Linked DNA regions of Tamandua tetradactyla. The protein of the gene in region 3 purifies or fractionates together with the protein of the main gene of each other region. This does not show direct contact. Links are inferred from orthologs where the notes say so. Each region holds a gene or a part of one and is shown on either strand. Other genes may lie near its edges.

Evidence for each region.
Region 1: the proteins of MYH9 (region 3) and ACTB purify together in Homo sapiens (affinity purification with western blotting; 4 studies listed by BioGRID and IntAct, with this or other methods). This does not show direct contact. The link is inferred for Tamandua tetradactyla from reciprocal best matches to the Homo sapiens genes MYH9 and ACTB.
Region 2: the proteins of MYH9 (region 3) and UBE3A purify together in Homo sapiens (affinity purification with western blotting; 3 studies listed by BioGRID, with this or other methods). This does not show direct contact. The link is inferred for Tamandua tetradactyla from reciprocal best matches to the Homo sapiens genes MYH9 and UBE3A.

Annotation. Positions count from the first base shown.
Region 1 is NC_135349.1:4,685,502-4,693,444, forward strand, and holds the start of ACTB (actin, cytoplasmic 1), read right to left. Parts: upstream 3,016-7,943; 5' UTR 2,917-3,015; intron 1,867-2,916; 5' UTR 1,861-1,866; coding exon 1,738-1,860; intron 1,639-1,737; coding exon 1,399-1,638; intron 955-1,398; coding exon 516-954; intron 388-515; coding exon 206-387; intron 80-205; coding exon 1-79. UniProt on the Homo sapiens protein: Actin is a highly conserved protein that polymerizes to produce filaments that form cross-linked networks in the cytoplasm of cells.
Region 2 is NC_135338.1:78,190,479-78,198,067, forward strand, and holds the start of UBE3A (ubiquitin-protein ligase E3A), read left to right. Parts: upstream 1-4,574; 5' UTR 4,575-5,142; intron 5,143-5,408; exon of another isoform or gene 5,409-6,246; 5' UTR 6,247-6,313; intron 6,314-7,589. UniProt on the Homo sapiens protein: E3 ubiquitin-protein ligase which accepts ubiquitin from an E2 ubiquitin-conjugating enzyme in the form of a thioester and transfers it to its substrates.
Region 3 is NC_135333.1:28,689,458-28,697,148, forward strand, and holds the start of MYH9 (myosin-9), read right to left. Parts: upstream 3,010-7,691; 5' UTR 2,822-3,009; intron 2,134-2,821; exon of another isoform or gene 2,115-2,133; intron 1-2,114. UniProt on the Homo sapiens protein: Cellular myosin that appears to play a role in cytokinesis, cell shape, and specialized functions such as secretion and capping. Required for cortical actin clearance prior to oocyte exocytosis. Promotes cell motility in conjunction with S100A4.

The DNA.
Region 1 (7,943 bases), on a different chromosome or scaffold from region 3:
TCTGCTGGAAGGTGGACAGCGAGGCCAGGATGGAGCCGCCGATCCACACGGAGTATTTGCGCTCAGGGGGGGCGATAATCTGGGGAGGGAAGGGAGACCGTCAGCCTGAAGATCCTATCCTGGTGACGCAAAGGGCTGGGGGAGGGGCTGGTGCCCAGGCCCCAGACCCGGAGATGAAGGCTCCCCTTGACCACCAGAGACTCACCTTGATCTTCATCGTACTGGGTGCCAACGCTGTGATCTCCTTCTGCATCCTGTCGGCGATGCCCGGGTACATGGTGGTCCCGCCAGACAGCACCGTGTTGGCGTAAAGGTCCTTGCGGATGTCCACGTCACACTTCATGATGGAGTTAAAGGTAGTTTCGTGGATGCCACAGGATTCCATGCCTGGAGGGAGAGAGACTGGTCTTAGCTTCCCTGCACAGCAAGGCAACCCGGGCTGGGGGGGCGTGGGGGGCCTGGCCTTAAGGGGGAGGATGGCGGGAGCAGGGCTAGGAGGCCACGTGGTCACTCACCCAGGAAGGAGGGCTGGAAGAGGGCCTCGGGACAGCGGAACCGCTCGTTGCCGATGGTGATGACCTGGCCGTCAGGCAGCTCGTAGCTTTTCTCCAAGGAGGACGAGGAGGCGGCGGTGGCCATCTCCTGCTCGAAATCCAGGGCGACGTAGCAGAGCTTCTCCTTGATGTCACGCACAATTTCGCGCTCGGCCGTGGTGGTGAAGCTGTAGCCGCGCTCGGTGAGGATCTTCATGAGGTAGTCGGTCAGGTCCCGGCCGGCCAGGTCCAGACGCAGGATGGCGTGGGGCAGCGCGTAGCCCTCGTAGATGGGCACGGTGTGGGTGACCCCGTCGCCGGAGTCCATGACGATGCCCGTGGTGCGGCCAGAGGCGTACAGGGACAGCACAGCCTGGATGGCCACGTACATGGCAGGGGTGTTGAAGGTCTCGAACATGATCTGGAGGGAGAGGGGTAGTGGGGGGCTCGTCATGTCCAGGAGGGGACAGGGACAGCTGGCCACACTGGGGACATGCAGAAGAGTGCAAGGAACACAGTAAAAGTGTGCTGGGGAGGGGGACACGGGGGCAGGGGCTCAGTCCAGGCCTAAGGTGGTGCAATCAGACACACTCCAAGGCAATTTACACCAGCGTCCTTGGCTGCCACCGAGCCAGTGTTAGTACCTAAATCCACAGCACTTTAGGAACACCTAGTAAAAGGGACAGACACCAGAAAGAGGATTCATCTGGGGAAAAAGCAAACAGAACCTGCAGAGTTCCAAAGGAGACTCAGGTCAGAGAAGAGAGTCCTATGGAGAACGGCAGAGAGAAGAACAAGTTGAGAGGAGGGAAGGCACCGCAGGGAGAGGACCGCGGGCCGCCCGGGAGAGGCGGGGAGCACTGACCTGGGTCATCTTCTCACGGTTGGCCTTGGGATTAAGGGGGGCCTCGGTCAGCAGCACCGGGTGCTCCTCCGGGGCGACGCGCAGCTCGTTGTAGAAGGTGTGATGCCAGATCTTCTCCATGTCGTCCCAGTTGGTGACGATGCCGTGCTCGATCGGGTACTTCAGCGTCAGGATGCCTCTCTTGCTCTGGGCCTCGTCGCCCACGTAGGAGTCCTTCTGGCCCATGCCCACCATCACGCCCTACGGAACAAGGGACGGGGTCAGCCCCTGTGCGGGCAGCCCAGACCCCCCCCTGCCCCCGGGACCTCACCCAGCTCAAAGCGGGCCTGGCCGCCCTACCTGGTGCCGGGGGCGCCCCACGATGGAAGGGAAGACGGCCCGGGGCGCATCGTCGCCCGCGAAGCCGGCCTTGCACATGCCGGAACCGTTGTCGACCACGAGCGCAGCGATGTCATCATCCATGGTGAGCTGCGGGTCGGGGGGGCGAGGCCGTGAGCGGGGGAGGGGCCGCCCGCCCGCCCACTTCCGGCCGCCAGAGGGCGCCGGCGCGCGCCCGGCCTCGGGACAAAGGAAGCCCGGCCGGCCGCGCTATTTCCATAAAAGGCAAGTGCGGGTCGCGGCGGCGGCGCCGCGCGGCAGGAAGCCAGGCCCCGCCCCCGCCCGGCGGCCCCGCCCCCGCCCCGCTCAGTTGGGGCTCAGCGGCCACACCCTCGGCGGGGGCGCGGGGCGGCGCGCGCAGGCGCCCTGGAGGCCCGCCGACCCCACCCCTTCCGGGAGGGCCGGCCCCGCCCTCGCCCTGCGCCCCGGCCTGGGCCGTGCACCCCGGCCCTGCCCGCGCCCTTGTCCGGCCGGCGATAGACGGGGGTGCTATGGTGGGGGCAGTGGGGAGCGGGGAGCACGCACTTACGCACGCGCGGTAGCGTCCCAACCCCCACCCCGGCCTCGCTGCGCCCACCCTGGGGACAGGGGACAGCCACCTGCCCGCTTGGACAAAGACCCGGCCGGTCACCGCGGCCTCCCCCCACCCCAGGACTCCTCCAAGCCGCTCGCTACGGGCTCATGGTCTCGGATCCAGAGCTGGGGAGGGAGGTGGAATCCCGCCTGTCGCGGGGTTTGGGGGCGGCTCTCCACGGGCGACGTGGGGCCGCGGCTGGAGACCAAGTGGACGCTGCCACGGGGCGCTGCCTCCAGGGCATGGAGGCGCGGGGACCCTGCCTGGGCGTCGGCCATCAGCGCCCGTGGACCCTCCCTCCGCGCGGGCCATCCGTGCGCGGGGGACCCTGCCTGGGCGCCGGCCATCAGCACGCGGGGACCCTGCCTGGGCGCCGGCCATCAGCACGCGGGGGGACCCTGCCTGGGCGCCGGCCATCAGCACGCGGGGACCCTGCCTGGGCGCCGGCCATCAGCACGCGGGGAACCTGCCTCTGTGCCCGGCCATCAGCGCGCGGGGACCCTGCCTCGGTGCCCGGCCATCAGCGCGCGGGGACCCTGCCTCGGTGCCTGGCCAGAGCGACTTACCTTGGAGGTGGCGAATGTAAACCGGCGGTGGTGGCGGCTGAGCGGCGAGAGGCCTGTACTCGCGGGGTGGACGCGGTGTCGGCGGTGGCTGCGCGTCGCGCCGCCGGGTTTTATAGGGCACTGCCGTGGCCGCTCGAGCCATAAAAGGCAACTTTCGGAACGGCGCGCGCTGATTGGCCCCGCGCCGCTCACTCACCGGCCTCGCCGCACAGTGCAGCATTTTTTTACCCCCTCTCCCCTCCTTTAAAAAAAAAAAAAGGAGCGAGCGAAAGAGCGTGAGCGAGATTGAGGAAGGGAGGGCGGAGGAGGGAGAGAGTTTTGGCGTTAGCCGCCCTTGGGTGCCGGGCCCATGGGCCAGGGGTGCAGGCCTGGGGTCGTCCCCCGGATGGGCAGTGTCCACGCCGGCCCTGCGGGCCAGGCCTGGTTTCAGGCTGCTGGTGTCGCCGCGACCCCCACCCGTGACCCTGTGGGTGTGGATGTCACATGAGCACAGCAGGCCTCGGTGGGCAAGGGGTCAGCATGGAAGCAAGGGCGCTGGTTGCCGCAGGCACGTGCTGAAGTTGCAGCGGCATTGAGGGGGACACAGGCAGGGGACGGTCACAGTCACTCCCCCTTGCCAACATTAGCTCAACTGCCCAGGAGGCCTGGCCTGGGGGTACTCTGGAGGTGTTTGCTGGGCTGGCTGTGGGCTGGGGCCCTTCTCAGACACCTGGGGCTGAGCTTCCCTGGCGGAAAGGCTGCAAGCCTCCCCTGCTGCAGGGAAACTGTTTCCAAGGAGCCAGGCTGCCTCTGACGCCCGCCTGGTCACACCCAGCCTAAGCCGTTAGCTGTTGGGTGGGGTTGGCAGGGCTGACTCTGCCCCCCTTCGAGGCTGGGCCCCTCCATCCATCTTCCGTCATGGACAGCCACAGCTGAGCTGCTTCCCTGGACCATCTGGAGGCCGGGAAGGACTCTGGGGAGGAACGCAATGTGCCAGAGGGGAGTTGGGGGGAGGGCAGTGGTGGGAACCCAAAGCCAGCTGGTCTCAGAGAAGACCCTCTTCTCAACCTTTCTTGCCCTGGGTCTGTGCACCCCACATTGGGCAAGACCCATGTCTCTGGGAATGTTCGGTGGGGGGCGGGGGGCGTCCAAAATGGACAGCCCAGTCCTCTGTCCTAGGGTTCCCAGGTGGGGACACATGAAGATCAGTGTGTGTCAGACAAGCCTGGCGCCCGGGGACTCAGCCTGGAGGACCAGGGGTGGGCTTAACTCGGGGTGACAAGAGGCCACAGGCATTCTTCGTCCCTCTGTCACTGGCCATCTCTGGGCACCCGATGGCGGTGAGAAAGCGGGAGGACCGTCGGCCCTGTGGGGATGGAGAGCCTGCGGCTGGAGAAGAGGTGGCTTGCTCCAGCTCGTTGGATGGGCCTGGGGGCAGGGTAGCACCACAGAGGCCATCCCCAGGTGGGAAGAGAGACCCCCACGCAGCTACAGCAGAGGCCACACGGTCCAAGTCACATGCCAGCCTTCCCAGAGACCTGCCAAGAAGCTGCGGCCACTCCCCCATCCTCGCGTGGGCCTGGGTAAACTTTCCCAGCCTGTCCACTCGCTGCCTCCCGGAGGCTGGCAGCTCTGGCCCTGGCCTTCTTTCTCGATCACGGGCATCTCGCCAGCCACCTCACGACCTGCCAGCCCTGTAATTCACCAGGCCAGGGGGCACCCCTTTGCGCTGCCTGTCGATGAGCCTGGTGGGGTACTGAGTTCGGGGCTACAGGCATAGGGTGGGAGGTTCTTGGGGTGGCTCTGGGCACCGAGTGGGAAACACTGGTCCCTGAGCAGGACCTGGGCTGCCCGCTGGCCTATGGTACCCACTGTCTGCAGCAGCCACTTCCTGGTGATCTCCTATGCATCCTTCAAGGCCCATACCAGAAGGCCCCTTCTTAGAGAGGACTTTAGCATCATTATCCTCCACTTTCCTCCCCACATAAGACAGCTACCCTGGACTAGTATTGGTAATTTGGCTTTTGAGGGTATGTCACTCCCACTTTCCTGCCTTGCTCACGCCCCCCATAACCCCCTCAGGGCCCTGCTCTGTTGAATGAAGAAATGATTGGCTGGGTGTCCTCAGTCCAGACTCTGGGGAGATGAGGGGCCAGAGGGGCTGGGCAGCAAGCCTGGGGCAGGGTGGGATGGGGCCTGGCCAGTAAATGGGCCTGAGCAGAGCAAGAAAGCAGGGGAAGGGGAAAGGGGAAGTGCAGCCTGCTGGGGGAGGGGGAGGAGGGGAGGGAGAGGAAGTGAACAGGTTATTCTTCACTCGGGAACTTTGCCTTTGCGGGGTGGGGTGCGGGGGTGGGGGTGGGGGTTCTGCCGAGACTTGGGGCCGGTTGGGTCCACCATGAACCTGGGGCCCAGCACTGGGTCCCAGGTCTCTTGGTTCCTTCACCCTGCCAGGCCCCAGGCTAGGGTGTCCGTAGCCTTTTGGAGCCAGATTCCCCCACACCCCATGCCCTCTCCTGCCAAACAGCCACCAGCCACCAAGCCCTGGGCCTGCCGGGTAGGCAGCCCAAGCTCCTTTTTTTTCAGAGGGAGGGTCTGGGATAGGGCTGAGCAGGAGAAGAGGCCCCCCTTTTAGACCATGGGCCACAGGAAGGCAGGGACCCCGCAACCAGAGGGCTCTCAGTGAGGGGTAATTGAATGAAGGGGTGAGGCAAAGGGGCTAAGATATTCCAGCAAGCACACCCCCTTTTTACAGATGGGGAAACTGAAGCAGGACTGGTAAAGCACCCAGGGCTTAGGCTCCTGTGTGAAGGGTGCTGAGCTGGGCTCGGGGTCCCCAAAAGCAGTGGCCTCACCTCCTGCCTTATACTGCCCCTCCCTGAGTAAAGCCTGGAATGTCCCAAGGGAATGGGTCCAAAGGTGCTTCCAAACTCTAAATTCCTGGGCCCTGCCTCACTCCTCAGCACTTGTCTCCTGAGGCTCAGAGAGAACAACCACCAGCCTGCAGTCACACAGCAATCCATCCTGAGGGCCTAAGCTTCCTCTCTCCTCTGCCTCTTGCATCCCCACTTTCCCTGTTTGCAGTATGATCTTAAGAAGAAACCTCGGCTCCTTTGAGCAAGTGGACCTCAGGAGTCTTGAGGTCCTGGGAGGGCCTATGCTTGGGGTCCCTCACCTCCTGCCAGACTTCTCAGTCTTCAGGGAGGGGTCAGCTCTTGGACTGCCACCTCCAGGAAGCCTGCCGTGACCTCCTCCTTCCTCTACCATGACTGAGAAGTAGAGACCCAGCCAGAGCTTCTTAAAGGGTAGTTCAGGAAGGCCTCCCTGAGGAGGTGACCAGCCAGCTAGGGGAGGTTGGAGAACAGCCTGGTCAAAGGCCCAGGGGCAGAGAGATGGGCTGTGCCCTGGGCAGCACCCTGGCTGGCTCCCCAGACCTGGCAGCCTCTGCCCCACCACCCAGATTCCCCCACCCCCTAAGGGGTTATCTGGGGGGTGGGAGCTGTCCTGGAGAAACTGGGAACTTCTAGACACTTCATGGGGGAGTTTTTAAAAATCCTTAAAAACTACCCTCTCACTTCCACTCCCCCAGGGCACTCAGAAAAACCTGCCCAGCCTTCCAGGGGGGTTCCCAGACTTGCTTGAATGATTAAAAAAAAAAGAAACAAAAAGCTTCCCTGGGCTTCCCCTCCACAGGCTCACCAGCTATGCCCTTTTATCCCATGAAGGTCCTTGGGCTGACTGTGCCCATTCTCTGGATGAGAAGCCTAGACCCCCCCAGAGAGACCCAGGGGGCTGCAAGGAAGGGGCCCCTTGGGGGCGGGGTGGGGCTGTCCAGGTGAGCTGGGGTGGATGCTCCTGTCCCCTCTCTCGTGTGCACAGCGACCTGCTCACAGCCACCCAGAGGTCACGGCAGCCTCTGGGGCAGAGGATGGGGGGCCAACAGCCACGGCAGGTTCTGGGGACTCCTGGCCCTGCCACCTGGGCTGTGAACCGAGCAGGTGTGACACGTGGCTCCCAGGTGGCCTGGGGCGGTCACTGTATGGAGGGGGACCCCTGAAGTGCCATTTGGGCCCACGAGGGCTGGTGGATGTCAGGGGTTCAACCTCCTCCTGGCTGGGTGGCCTTTTCCCCCCACTTTCCTGCCCAGCCCGGGGGGGGGCTCGGAAATTCCCACAGGTGTTGGGCCACTAGAGGTCCGGGGTGGGGGTGGGGGCACCCCTCCTGAAGAGCCTGAGGAAGTGAAAGGGGAAGGGGGGAAGGAGGTGTTGGGAAAGGACGGGCGGGGTGGCCGCTGACTCACGGAGGCCACTGGCTCCCCCATCTCCCAGCCCAGCCTCCCCTTCCTGGTCTCCCCCCATGTCCGTGAGAGGAGAAGGGAAAGCATAGTGTCTGGGGCCAACCGTGGGCCGGGCCTAGGTCCAGAGCTAAGTGGGAATCTCCCCATTTCTCAGAAGGGCAACCGAGTCCCCGTGAAAGTGAGAGACCTGGCCCTGCAGTTAACAGCCCAGTCTGGCTATTGCTAGACCTTACTGGAATTTGCTGGAACCTGGAATCCAGAACCGGGTGCAAGGCCAAGGTCCATGGAGAGCCTCGAAGGGCCCCACAGAGTCCTTCAGCCTCTGCAGTCACTGCTCTTGGCCCCATACTTCAGATGGGCAAACTGAGGCTCAGAGTGGCCAGGGACTTGGCTGAGTGGTGGCAAAACCTGCACCCAGCCACCCTGGGCCTGGCAGTGGGAATCACGCTGGGCCCCTCGTGCAGGCCTCCTCAGCTGGCACCGGCTGCTTCGGTGTGGGGCGTGGTATCTGTCCTAGTGGGAATCCGATCGGCTGTACCACATAATCAGGCTCTCCTCGGCCAGAGGTTTCTGCCATCTGCTGGGCTCACCAGAACCCGAGCTGGCCCCGTGCCAGCTGCTGGGGACACGGTGGTGACTACTGAATGCCACACAGGGCACCAGGCAAGGTCTGAAGAGGCCCCGGGCCCATCGAGGCTCAGGGAAGGATCCCAGAGGCAACCCCAGGCTTGGGTTTTGCTTTTTGTTGCTGTTG
Region 2 (7,589 bases), on a different chromosome or scaffold from region 3:
AAGCAAAACTGTGTTTTGCATTTGGCTGTTCTGCCATTAGTGACATTAACACAAGCAAAGTGGAGTAAAATGGGGGCAGAAGCCTAATTTTAGTAGTTGAAGAGGGCCTTGGAAGGAAGTGGCAATTTAAGCACAGAAAATTCTTATAAATACAAGGGAACAAATTCAGTAGAGCAGGAGAGATTATTGACTGGAGATGGAATGATGAAGTGTTAACAAGACAAAAAAAAAAAAAGGCCTAATTTCCCGGTGCCTGCCCATGCCAAAAAAGAAAAAAAATATTGCCTTAGAAAGGAAGAAGGCAGGAGGTAAGGAGGTGTCCAGATTTAGATAGATCTGTAGGGGTAAGGGTGGAGGTGTAAAGCTGTGAAGTGTGTAATGGTAAATAATGATATCGATAATATTCACATTCATCTTCACACATATACAGTCCATCCAAAGTATCAATGGCCCATAACATTACCACATAGTTGTCCATTTTTAGAACACTTGTACCACTGCAAGAAAAGAAATAAGGAAAAAGAAAAAGCCCATACATCCCATATCCCACACTCATCCCTCCCATTGACCATCAGTATTGCAATTAACCCCAATTTTTTTTACCCCGCATTCCCCCTCTATTATTTATTTCCTATACTTATTTTTTTACTCATCCGCCCCTACACTGGATAAAGTGAGTGCCAGTCACCAGGTTTCACAATTGTAAAAACTATATATAGTTACACACAGTAAAAACTATATATCGTCTTCAAGAATCAAGGTTACTGGAACATAGCGCAACAGTTTCAGGTACTTCCCTCTAGTCGCTCCAATGTAACATAAACCAAAAAGATTATCTACATAATGCATAAGAACAACCTCCAGGAAAACCTCTTGATTCTTTAGTTTGAAACTTCTCAGCTACTCAAACTTTGTCTCATTTTTCTCTTCCCCTTTTAAGTCAAGAAGGCCCTCTCAATCCCATGATGCCAGGTTCCAGCTTATCCTTGGGAGTCAAGTCCCACGCTGCCAAGAAGATTCACACCTCTGGGAGACATGCCCCAGGTAGGGGGGAGCACAGAGAGTTCACCTGCCATGTTGGTTTACAGAGACAGCAAGCATTAACATTTAGTGCATAATTACCATGTGCCAGGTACTCTTCTACATGGAACTAATTTTGCTTCAAAAACATTAGTTAAATATAGGGAGCGAATCAGATAATGAAAGCTTAGTTTCTTTCAATAGTTGGGAATTGAACATTTTGATGTAGCCTAAAAACAAGTGTTATTACCAAGTAACGTATGCAACAGTGACTTTACCCCACCATATCTGACCCTCTTTTCATCCAGGCACTCAGCTTAATCCTGATCCAGGGGCATGCTGAGTAATAGTGTTTTTACATTTTTTTTTTATTATTACATGGGCAGGCACCAGGAAACGAACCTGGGTCCTCTGGCATGGCAGGCAAACATTCTTGCCTGCTGAGCCACTGTGGCCTGCCCATGTTTTTACACTTTAATTAATCTGTTGTAACTCCCATTAATAAGAAAGCTAAAGAACCAAAATAGCCCTATGAAAATTTTAACATCACCGGTGTAGTAGGTTGAACAGTGTCCCCTAAATCCAAGCCTAACCAGAATCTCAGAATATGACCTTATTTGGAAATAAGGTCTTTGCAGACATAATTTGTTAAGCATCTTGAGATAAAATCTTACCAAATCTAATAACTGGTGTCTTTAAAAGACGAGAAGAGCACACAGATAGATACAGAGATGATGACGATATAAAGATGGAGGTAAAACCTGAGGGATGCGTCTACAAGTCAAAGAATACCAAGGCAACCATCAGAAGCTAGAAAAGTATGGGATCGTTTCTTCCTTGGAGCCTCCAGAAGAAACCAACCCAGCCAATACCCAAGTTTTGGACTTCTAGCCTTCTGAACTGTAGAAGTATAAATTTGTTGTTTTAAACCACCCAGGATGTAGTAATTTTCTATCGCTGCCCTAGGCAACTAATACAACCAGAAATTTACAGCAAGATGATTAAAAAAAAATGTATTAGTGAATTCTCTCATGATCATTAAAGAACTGAATTACTCTGATAAACTGTCCACAGTTTTACTGTGGCCAGGTATGACTTCCCCTTGAACTGTGAGCTCTTAAGGACAGGGATAGGGATTATTGATCTTTTATTCTTTCTCAAGGCCTGGCACAGTATTTTGTAAATAGTACAAGCTCAAAGTTTGTTTAAGGAATTAACGCATTATGCTGAAAAAAATTAAATTACACTTTCACTTTACACCTGAAATGAGAAAATCATTAGAAATGACTGGATCTCATTTTAACTAAAATAGTCTAAAAAATTTACTGCTCACTTACTAGATACCAAGTAATTTTTTTGGGAAGACACACCTGAAGAAAAACATGGGTCTAAATGGGAGACAATTAATGAACTAAAAGGTTTAGGCTATGAGTCTCCCAGGTGCTAATTCACACACAAGAATACATATTTAACATTAATGAACTAAAATGGCTATGAGTAATTTCCGAGATTCCAAAGAGGCCCTACTAACATCAAAATATCTTAATAAATAACTGGATAGTCATTTAGACATCTAACTAAGAGTAGATTTATTTCCCTCAAGTCTAACCTTTTTGGAACTCAGGGATTTCAGACACATTTTGATACATCAAGTTTTAAAACATTCATTTATTCAAGTTCTACTTAAGAGAAAGTAGAATAGCTAAAAAGTGTCTTCACATGTTATAGTGGTAACATTTTGCTTTTAGTTCTAACAAGAAAGTCTTTAATGATTTTCATTCCTCTTGGCTTATGTATCAAAATAAAGATAAATATAAACCTTTAAAAGATTATTTCCCTCCATAAAATACAACTGCAAGTAGTTTCCAAATGAAGCTCTGTAACTGGAGTGAATGAAAATAGAAGTAGCAACTGAATAAGGACCCAAGTTAAAACATCATAAAATCGGACATGGCTTTCAATTCTGGAATAATCTAAATGTCTTCAGCTTATTTCTAATAGCTGGTTAAATATTCTATAGTTGGGAGAGGGGTTCTATTAATTATTCCTGCCTATATTAAAAAAAGGATACTCTAATAATATTACTTACAAAACTATACTGCTATATATGATTGTATCCATAAAAATTTGAATATTGCTTGAATGGAGCAACACACAATATTCTTTTTACTGGCTTTCCTTAATTTTCCAAATATTTTATTCTAACGTGCCTTTTTCCCTTTATTATAGTAGTTGTGGGTTTAAGAACAATCATGCATAAAATATAGGATTCCCACATATCACCTTATTATTAACACCTTGCATTTGTTGTGGAACCTTTGTTACAATTGATGATGGCACGTTTTGATAATTGTACTATTAACTTTAGCCCATGGTTTAACTTTGGGTTTCCTGTTTGTGTGGTATAGTTTCATGGATTTAAAAAAATTTTTATTATTTGTATACCTGCATTCTAACATTTCCCGTTTTAGCCACATTCAGATCTATATTTCTCTACTGCTAATTATATGCACAATGTTATGCTACCATCAAATAGGAACACTGTTTAAAGAGTTTGTTGGCAAAGTTGAAAACCTGTAGGAGTATTAATTGTTCATGATATCATTACAGCTTTGTTATCAAGTATTACAAAGCCATAAATAATCTCTTTAAAATAAGACGAGGACCCTGATGCCAAATATGATTTCAATTTGCATGGCTTTAAATAGGTTCAGTTGTCAGTAGGATCAAAATTAACCTCAACACAGCAACTGGAGTCAACCAAGACGCCACATCTCTTCAGAGACAACCTACATGTATCAGTACTGCAGTTAACTGACTTTTACCTTTTCTTCTTTTGTAAACTAGTGACACATCCTGTAATAAGCAAGAGGACTAAGCAGATGACCTTGGCCTCTGAAAGCTGGCCCACACTCTCGGGCTACATTCGCAGTGTTTACATGGGCGGCTTCAGGTAGAAAGAGGATGGGATCAAAGATCTAGCAGGGAAGGAGGTTTCTATCCCGCCTCGGGGCTGGGGGCTATCAGTGCCATCTCTGCTGCCTTTTGGAGACGACTCGTTCCAGACAAAACAGGGGCGACCAAGTCCCAGCACGTTTCTCGGGTGGGTGGACAAGGGGGCTCTCCAACCCTCCTAAAGACTAAGGAGGTTTCCGGAAAGTATCTCCTCCGCTTTCTGTTGCATCGCTGACAGCCCGGCTCGGTGGCAGAATTGCTTCTCCGGCCTAGTTCCAAGATGGCGACGGAACATCGAGAGGTTCAGCGTAGCCGCGGGATACCTCCTCTTCCCAGCGATCCCTGCGCCGGCGGCGATTGCACTGAGGTGTGTGTGTGTGTATGTGTGTGTGTGTGTATGTGTGTGTGTGTGTGTGTGTGTGTGCGCGCGGCGGACGGCGGCAACCGGAGCGGGCTAGGAAAGACGGTGGGGTTGGGAGAGGCTGCGGCGCGGAGCCCTCCCGCCTGCGTCCCGGCCCCGCCCCGCGTCCCCGCGTCCCCGACCGGAGCCTTCTCCAGGCCGCGGCGCGCGCAGCCTGCCGGGATACTCAGCCCGCCCATCCAGTCCTCCCGGCTTGCGCTGCGGCCGCGAGTTCTGTGTTTCTCCCAAGATGGTGGCGCTGGGCTCGGGGTGACTGCAGGAAACGACAGGGCACCGATAACCCGCCCTCCGCTCGCTCGCGCACCCCGCCGCCACGTAGCCAGCCACCGGCCCGGCGCCCGACAGCTGCCGCCGCTGCCGCCTTCTGCTTCGCCTCCGCCGATCCGGTTCTTTCGGCCGCGGGCGGCGGCGCCTCCTTCGGCTTCTCCTCCCGGCGGTCTCTGAGCGGCTCGCGGCCTATCCCCGGCCAGTCAGGCCCGCAGCCCCCCCGGTGTGGACAGGCAGCGGTAGAGCAACAGCTGGCGACGAGCGTGGGGTCCTCGGCGTCCCTAGCCACTTTGCCGGCCTCGGCCTCCAAAGAAGGAAGCGCGGGTCCCGCATGAGCCCCGGCGGTGGCGGCGGCAGCGAAGGGGAACGAGGCGGTGGCGGGCGGAGGCGGCGGGCGGAGACGGCGGGAGAGGGCGACGACGACCAGTGAGTCGGCTGCCGCTACGAGGTCCGCGGCCCAAGCGCGGGAGCGACGGCAGGTCAGTGTCTTGTCAGAGGCCTAGCGGGTGGGCCAGGCGGAGTGGGGCGCGGCCTTCTTTCCTCTGTCCTCTCGGGCTGAACCCTCCACCTCTCGCCAGGGTGAGTATTTGGGGGCGCGTAGTCTCGGGGGGCCGGTGCAAGAATTAGGCCCCTTCTGGCAGAGCTTGCTGCCTCTGTAACTGTCAGTCCTGATTGCGCGGAAGGGAGGGTTTTGTTGCCTGAGGGTACAGGAGCGAGCCTGGGGTGGGGCGTCCAGGACTGCAAGAGCAGGCCTGGCTCGCTGAAAGGCCGGCTGAGCCAGGGTCCAGGTCAGGAAAGAGCTGTCCTTTCCCTGCCAAGGGAAGCGCTCTCGATGTTTTCGAGGTCTTGGACTCTCTTGGTGAAGAAATCTTCAGGCGTATGCTTGGTGAATTGGGGTTTGGGGAGGTGGACTGATGGGAAGGGAAGACGACGGAGGAACTGGCGTGTCAAGCCTCAGGGTTGCGTTCACAGACTGTTCAAGTGTTCCTCGTTGCCAAGATTCTAAAGTTGAATGCGAGTTAGTGGGTTTGCCAGAGAATGTATTAAATGCAGACCTGCAAATAATTGCTCCCCACCCCCTTTTTTCTTTTTCCTTTTAATTGAGAGAATGGGAAGGGAACTTTGCTCATTTTGGTGTGCAGGTTTTGATTGGAAAAGCCAAAATCGAATACGACAAATGCTTTAGGCCATTAGGGTTTTAAAAATAGATGTAGTACAGACATTGTTTGGTTAAGTTTAGCGTCCTAGAAAGATAATTTAGTCTCTAAATTTTTAAAAACTTCTTATGGGTGTGCTAAAATAGAGACAATACAGAATCTGATTAGAATTCTAATTAAGTGGCTAAAATGCTGTTAATAAAGTAAACTAATAGCAGATGGGATTTATTGTCCAAAGTTAACCCTCGGTGATGATGAAATATGAATTTAACCAATAATTTTACATCATTCCATTTCCTGCAGTATTTGAGAGAAGCAACTAATTATCCAGACATTTTGGGGGTGGGGAGAAGGAAGGTGAACTAGAAATGACCTAAAGTTTAAGAAGTACAAGCATTAAAATGTTACATGTTAAACACACCGCAGGTGCACAATAAATTTTGTTGAATTGACTGGACAAGTGGAATGAGAAGTGTTCTCACACCTCTGACTAGTAAGTACCCTTACTTAAATTATTTTCAAGCCATGAAATAAAATCTACAACTCAGGAGAAAAGAAGAGAAGTTTTGTCATATGCATGAGAGAGCTTTGGAATTAGACCCCGACTCTTAAGTCTAAGGTATATATAGCATTTTTAATGAGATGAATGCAATATTAATGATGCTTTTGAAGAGTCCTAAGGCTGACAAGAAGTGCTTTAAATAAACACTATTAAGCATTACAAAAAAGTAAAAACTTAAATGAATAACTCATTTACAAAATTAAAATGTAAACTACGGAAGTCTTACTGTGTCACTATTTATTAACTGTTGTGAGTGGTAGTATGTACGTCATTTTCTGGACATTGTCCCATCCCTGAGGAATCTGCCTATAATTTATAAAAATAAAAATATAGTGCTTTTATGTCTTTTCAGATATTATGTAAGGTGTTTTTATTTTATCTTTCTTATATTGAAACTTTTTCATGGCTTAAAATTAATTTCTTAAGTACGGGTACTTACTAGTCAGAGGTTTGAGAACACTTCTCATCCCACTTGCCCAGTCCCTTCAACAAAATTTATTGTGTACCTGCAGTGTGTTTGACATATAACATATTAACACATTGTCATCCCACTTCCCCAGTATACTTACTAAGATTTATTGGGTGCCTAAAATGTCTGTGACCTGTGAGATTTTAATAGCTAAGATTTCTGAAACTTGAGGTTATTTCTATTTTAATACCCTTCTCACTTTCCTTTGAAAAAATCCGAAATAATTTGCTGTTTTCAATATTGCAAGCAGTGAAATGTTTCAAAACTGTCTGTAAACTTTTCAATCCAAGTTGAAATGATGTATCCAAATGTTTCTTAAGTCCTTACTGGTTATGTTCCCCATGCACTCTTATATATAGACCTATAATAAACATTATATTAAATGCATATGCAGTTTTTAAAAAATCAGCTTTCTAATTCATAGTGAAGCTAAATTTTCCAAAGTAGCTTTTTAAATAAACTACTTGAATAAAGGTTGGACAATTTGATGGTTCAGGAAACAGAGTTTTGGTTGGTTTTGATAATTTTCACCCCACTCCAACTGTGAAGATAAAATATAATCAGAGCTCTCATAGTATCTGTAATGGAAATTAGACCCTGTTTTTAATTGTGGCCTTATTCCAGCAATCTCACGATTGGCAAGTCATTTAATCTTGGTGAGCCTCAGTTTTGTCATCTGTAAAATGGGATGGCTAAAGCTACCTCAGGGTTTTTTTGAGGATTAAGGTATATGAAATG
Region 3 (7,691 bases):
CCAGGCAGAGATGCTGTTTTATGCTCAGCAAATTAGAACATTTGTTTAATTAAGACGACACAGATTTTGTTATTCTAAATATTTTTGGAACATGATGCTTAGAAGGGAGCTGTCAAGGCATGGATTTTTTTTTCCCTTTCCTTTGGGATTCTCTTTCTTTCCCTCCAAAAGAAGGGTAGGGCCCAGGCTCAGAGAAATACTATGGCCAACCCCTCCTCTCCTTTTGAAATAAAGATATCAAGCTGGTAAGGGCTGTTTTAAGTACTTTATTGAAGGATTAGCTAGAAGAGGAAGTTAAGAAAGCACAGCCATCCTGGCTTCTAGCAATACCCTATCAGGCAACACAACAATGCTGCATTTTTTTAGTGTGCTTTTCTTCTTTTAAGGAGCTAACAGATCTTTGTTTTGTTGTTTTGGGTTTTTTTTTTTTTTTTTTTTTTGAAGCAAGAGCAGGCAAAAGGCAGGCTGTGATTTACATGCATCCTTCATCCTACAAGAGAGCAGTTGTCCCATCTCTAACCCCTCAGATTAAAAAGTTTAAAAACAAAAAGGGCCTCTTTCATCTACCCTCACAAGCCTTAGGACAAGCATCCGCACAGAATACACCTCTCCAATTGCCCCTCTCCCAGGAATAACTCCCCAAATCTAGCTGGCCAGCCCCAGCTCCAGGTACCAGGACTTGCTGGAGGTGGAGAGTGGGGCTCTTCAGTGTCACTGGCCTGGCAATACCCAGCAGCCACCAGGGACACGGTGACTCTCAAATTACACTGAGCAATCTTGACACTTTTAATTACCTCCCAATTATCCACTAGATGACGCCTCACTTTCCAACACCATATGCTTGCCTCAGTTTGCCAAACCTGCAACATGCTCCTTCCTCACAGCTGCTTTCTCCTCCCTTCACACAGAACTAGTCTCCCTAGGCCTTGGAATTCCTCGAGTCCTTTGTCTATGGCATTCTTGTGATGCTCATCACAGGCTGCCTTTGTGTTCCTGTCATTCTGCCACTATGTCCCCTGGAAGACTGCAAACTCCCAGATGGCAGAGGCCTCCTCCAAGAGGCCTCCAGGATCTCCACTCAGGGGTGAGGGGGGGAGCTGGATCATTTCTCTCAATCTCCATGACTCACAGTACCTTTCTGGGGTCCCTGTCATCTCCACCTCACCTCACTTTAGAGTCATTGACAGATTTGTCTGGGCTCTCCCCTAAATGCCAGAGGGCAGGGGCCAGGTCTTACTCAACCTTGCACATACCCCCACCCCCACCCCCACTCCGTGGCAGAGTTCTTGGCAGAGAAGCCAGTCAAATATTTGCTCAATTACACATCTCTGTACCCCCACCCCACCCATGGCAGCCTTATATATAAATTGACAAATATTAGTGGGGCGATTGTCTAAATAGGCCTTAGAGCAGCTTTCCTCCTCACCAAGAGGTTTTCAGGCCGGCTCAGAAATGGCCATAGTGTTATCCCAAAAGGAACTAAGCTTCCTTCCCCTTCAACAGTTACTCTAAAATCCTGCTGAGAGGGCTCGGTGAACCGAGAAGCGTCTGGGGCCCTAAAATCAGCCGTCCTCCGGACCTGGGACTTCCCAGGAACCTTCTCCTTCACACCGGCTGGGTGGGGCGCCGGCAGCAGTCCTGGCTCTCACCCCACCACCACCACCACTACCACCTTCAAGGCAGCAGGCGAGCTTCAGCCCTGGAAGTCACTACGTTTCAGTGTGAACAATGGGCATCGTGAAGGGAACTGGGGTGCTCTGGTCCTACCCGGGGCCTTGGAGTGGCCCCAGGACGGGGATGGGATGAGGACTCCAGCACAGGGAGTGGGAGGAGGGGTTCAAAACCCTGGATCCGGCCCAAGCAGACAAGATGCGATAACCCAAACCTGGACCTAAAGGAACAGGATGCCGCTTCTAGCCGCATGGCCCGGGCGGGGCGGCCGCGGGTGCGGAGGAATCAGGTGCACGCTTAGGCCGGCCCGACGGCTGCGTGCATTCCGAGGTTTCCTTCCTCTCCCCGGCAATAGCAGTCAAAGGTTGGGGGGGGTGGGTGTTCTTTCCTGCGCCGCGGCCGCGTCCCTGCCGGGTCCCCCTTCCCCACGCACCCCTCCGTACCTCTCCTCCGCCCTCCTCCAGGGCCCGACCCTTCGCAGCAGGGCGAATGAGGAAGTCTGCAGCCCAGGGCGGAAACCGAGCCGAGCGCAATGTCTGCGGCGGGATTGTCCCATTCTGACTCAGGAGGCCGCCCTGACAGCTGCCAAACGGTCTCCTCCCGCCCGTTACCTCCGTCCCCAAAACGCATGGAAACTTCCAAAGGAGCCCCTGCCCGGAGCCCTGACTGCTCGAGTCCCCCACAGCACCTCCACCCGCCCGGCTGGGTCCAAGGGGCAACGGCTCCCCGGAAGAGGTTAAAAAAGTTCTACCAAGTTGGGCACTGGGCGAGGGGAGAGCGGGGCGCGTGCCCCCGGCGGTCGGACGAGGTCGGGGTCCCCAAGTGCCGGGGCGGGGGGGACGTGCCCGGCAGCGGGAGGGAGGGAACCGTGGCCCGGGAGCGCGCGGCACCGAAGACTTCCTCCGCTCCCGGAGGCCTCGCTCCCAGGGGCGCCGTCCCCTAGCACCCGCGCAGGGGTCCCGCAGTCCCTCCGGAGAGGATGCGCTGCCCGGTCCGGGGTCGCCGGCATTCGCGCCCGCCCGCGCCGGTCGCGGGCCACGCCGGGGCCGACAACCACAGTTCGGCCCGCGCGCCCCTGACGCCGCGCGCCCCATCGCCGCCGCCCCCGCCCGCCGGCCCAGGGCGGGACCCGCCGGTGGGGCTCGCTCACCTGGACCTGGAGGAGCCCCGGGGAACAGGCGATGCTTCTCCCGAGGGAGCGTTCTCGAGCGCTCGGGTGGCGGCGGGATGGGGCGAACGCGCGAGGCGGGAGCGGCAGCAGGTCAGCCTCGCCGAGCCTTCCGTGCCCTGCCCAGGAACCGCGGTGATCTGCGCGCCTCACCGCACCCAGCTCGGATCCTCGCCGCCCCCCCTGCCCCGCCCTCTCAGTCGCCGGTCCATTCCCAGTCCGAAGCCGGCTAGTGAGCGGAGCAGGGAGGAAAGGCCCCGCCCCTAAGCTGTCTCGCCCACTCCTGTATGCGCCGGGTCTTGATGGAAGGACATCTTGACCTGTGGAAAGTGGGGTGGGCGGAGCCCCTGGATCAGAAGGGTGGGGACTGGTCCTCCCCATCCGCCCCCAGCTCCACCCGCTCCACCTTCCCCCGCGCTTCCTAGGCGGGAGCCCCGCCCTCCAAGGGCGGGTCCAACGGACAGCCAGGTTCGAGGAGGAGGATTGACGCAGTGAGCGTCCAATCAGGAGGAGGCGGCTCCGGGCGCGGACGGCTCCGGAACCCGGCTTTGGTGCATTGCCTGCGCTGGGGCAGGCCCGGCGGGAGCGGACAGGGGAGGCTGGCGTAGCTGGCGCCCGGCCCCGCGGGCTGTTTTTTCCCTGTCCTATGTCATCCTACCAGAAGAACAGATATTAAGTACCATATATGGAAAAAGTGCTATTTTACAAAATTATTATGGCCTGTGGGAGCGGGCGTGGACTCAGTCCCGGATTCCGTTGTGGGCATCCGGAGTTCGATTCCTGACCCTGGCTATTTAGAGTAAAGCACGCTGCTTTGCTTCTTGGAGTCTCCAGACATTTGCTCAGTCCCTCTGCCTGGAATGCCTTTCCACTCCTCTGTTCGCTTACAAAATGTTTTCTTGGCTCTTTTGGGTAAGCGAATCACTTTTCACCAAAGATGATAACTATTTATTATTTTTTCTATTTTTTAATTTCTAAATTTATATACACTTAGCTTTTAGTCTACTTAGAATTTATTTTGGTTCTAGAGTGAAGAAATCCGACGTGATTTTTGTGATAGTTGTCCAAACACCATTTTCTCTACTGATTTCAGGTACCACCTTCATCATATGCTGAACTTGTATATACTTGGATGTTTCTGAGTTTTGTCTGTTAATCTTCCCTGTGCCAGCTCATTGCAGGTTTATAATACATTTTATATCTGTGATGGTTTGAAACTACTATGTGCCCTCAGAAAAGCCATATTTTAATCCTGATCCAATCTTGTGGTGCCAGACCTATTGTTTAGGGTGGGAAACTTGGGTTTACTTCCATGGAAATGTGACACACCCATTCAAGGTGGGTCTTGATTAGTTTACTAGAGTCCTTTAAAAAGAGAAACATTTTGGAGAAACCTCAGATGCAGATGCTGGGAGAACAGTTGCTTCAGAGCTGACAGAGATGCACACACCACGCGCTTTCACATAAGATGCTAAGCAAGCCAGAACCCAGAGTTGTGTCCTGGAGGAGCTAAGTGAAAGCCCACAGATGCGTAGACAGGAAACCACTGGCATCAGAAGCTGACCTTCCCATGTGACAGACATTGGCCTTTCTTGAGTCAAGGTATCTTTGCTTGGATGTGTTAGTTTAGACATTTTTATGGCCTGGCTTAGAACTAAATGTGTAACTTATTAAATTCTCTTATTAAAACCCATTCCATTTCTGGTATATTTTGGCAGAATTAACAAACTAATACAATATCTGAGAGAGCAGATTTCTCCTCATTACTGTTTGCTGTGGAATAGCCTTGCTCTTATGACTAACTGTTCTCCCAAATGAAATTCAGGAAAAAAAAATTATGTTCTAAAGAAAAAAAAGAGTTTGCAACTCTGTGACAAAGACTTATTATCAATAATAGGAACTCTTTCCAGTCAATAAGAAAACCCAAAAAAACTCCAAAATAAAAATGGCCAAAAACGGGCAATCCAAAATGAAGAAATATAAATGGCTAATAATTTTTAAAATTAAGTATCAGAAAACGGAACAAAAACAACATGGATGCCATTTTCACTTACCAAATTAAAAAAAAGAAGAAAAATGTCCAGTTAGCCAAGTTGATAAACACAGTGGAAAAGTAAATTGACCAAAGAATTCTGAGAATTCATCTTAAGACAAAAATGGAGACATGCACAGATATTTGTGTATTAGAGCTCTCTAAAGAAACAGAACCAGCAGGAGATATCTGTAAAATATGAGATTTTAAAGGTGTCTCACACAACCATGGAAATGGAAGCGCCCAAAATCCATAGGGCAAGCTGTGACACTGGCAGCTCCGAAGAAGTCTTGACGAACTCCACAGGAGAGGCTTGTTGACTGAATAAACAGTGAAAATTCTCTCTCCTTCCTTTAAAGTCTTCAACTGATAGGTCCAAATCCAGGTGATTTGATTAACTTATTTGGGAGGAGGCACTCTCTTAGTTGATAGTAAGCTGCAATCAACTGACTGCTGATTTAATAAACCAGCCTTCTGGCTTATCAACCCGCCATCAGATATCCTTGCAGCAACCATTAGGCCAGTGCTTGCTTGACCAGACAACTGGGCATCATCAGGAGGCCGAGTTGACACAAGAATCTAACCATCACAGTGTGTTAAAAAGTTCTTCTTTGCAACATTGTTTATAGTCTCTAAATGTTATAAATGAATTAATATAGTAAGAGATTGATTACATTTTGATACATCTATATGTTTAAAAATACCACAAAAGGGCATTTAAATTGTTATGTAAATTTGTATATATTGGTTTAAAATATACTGAGGAAGAATAAACTATAGAATGCTACTGTAGTGGAATTTCATTTATTTCTATGCAATTTTGTATGTGTTTGCATATGTATGTGTTTTTCTCAGAGAAAGAATTAAGTTTAAAAGGCATTAATTTCATCAAAGTGTAAATAGGGATTATGTATTGATAGAGGGACTGTGATTGATTTTTTCTTATCTGTATTTTTAAACATATGTATCACTCACATAATTAAGAAAAGATTAAAAAGACTCATTTCGATATCCCCTCTCCCCAGATGTCTTCCCTGGCCCTCCAGGCCAGGTTGGGTGCCTCTCTGTGATCCCACATTACAAGCATTTACCTTCCTTCTAGCACTTACACACTGGATTTTAAACTTTAAACCATTTACTTGCTCTTTCCCTACCCAGGCTGGAAGCTACCTGAGGACAGACAGGGGCTGTGCCTTATTTGTCTTGCATAACATGGTCCTCAATGCATGCCTGAGCAGGTCTCTGAGCCTCTGTTTTCTTATCCATAAAATCAGTGTAATCACCAGGACTTGACTCACCCCTAGGACTGCTGAAAGAAGCATAGGGGACCATGACTGCTAATCAGTACACATTATTGATAATAATATTTCCATTTACCTCAAGCCTCCAGCCTCCTAGCCCCACTCTTTCCTTGTAACTGAGGTCATTAAGAAGATAGAAGGTCTGCCACACCTTGATGCTTTCCTGAATAAGGAAGCCCTCCTCCTTGCCATCCAGCCTAACCCCTCCTCCAACCTCTAAAAACCTGTACCTTTGATCCTTTCCACTCCCAGAATATTTTAGAAAAATATTTCGTCTGTTTTGTCTGAATGTTATATTTGATGCAGAAAGTAATAAAAAGAAAGAAAATTGAAACCACATATAGCCTTATGTAGCAACTATTAACAAACCTTGTTACTTCCTTCCAATGCACACACACACACACACACACACACACATCTGTAAGTGTGCGCACATATGTACAAGTATATATGCATATATTCTATATATTTTAAATAAAATTGGAGGATGCAAACATATATATGACCACCTGATTTATTACAAAGTTAGCACATTGCAAATAAGTAAGGAATGGATAATTTTTTTAGTAAATGGTGCTGGATCAACTACATATCCATGGGGGTAAAATTAATCTCGACCCCCTGCATTACACTATACATGAAAATAATTTAGGATGGATCAGAGACCTAAATATGAAAAATAAACAATAAACCTTCTGAAAATAACTGTTCAAGAATATGTTCATGACCTTGAAGTAGGCAACAATTTCTTAAACATAACAAAAAAAGTATTAACTATGAGACAAGATTGTCAACATGAACTTCATTAAAATGAAGAACTCATCAAAAGACACAAGTAAAAGACTGAAAAGTCAGATCACAAACTGGAAGAAAATGTCTACAATATATAAAGGTAACAAAGGATGGGACCCAGAATTTATCAAGAATGTCTACAATAAGAAAAAATGATAATTTTTAAAAATGAACAGAACATTTGAATGAGCAGCACATCAAAAAAAAAGGGCATCCAAATGGCCAGCATATGAAAAAGTACTCAACATGATTAGTCATGGCAGAATTGCTAATTAAAACCACAATGAGATACCACTATTCCCTCATCAGAATGACTAAAATTAAAATGCCAAGTGTTGGCAAGGACTGGGAGCAACTGGGACTCTCAGACACTGTGGTGGCATAAATTGGTACAGCCATTTTGGAAAAAGTGTTTGGTTGTATCTACTAGAGTTGAATATACAGCATATACTAGGACCCAAGAATTCCACTCTTGAGTCTGTACTCAACAGAGACAAGTACTGAACCCACCAAAGGCAGGTACAAAAATGGACAGAGTCTCTTAAAATAACCAAAAACTAGGGGGGAATGCCCATCAACAGCAGAATGGATATACTGAGTATGTTCATACAATGAAATACTACACAGCAATTAAAATGTACACACTAAAAAGAAAGGGAAAAAAGTACATACTACTGTTACATGTGAGGCCAGAGATGACCCAAATTTCCATCACTTGAATGAATGT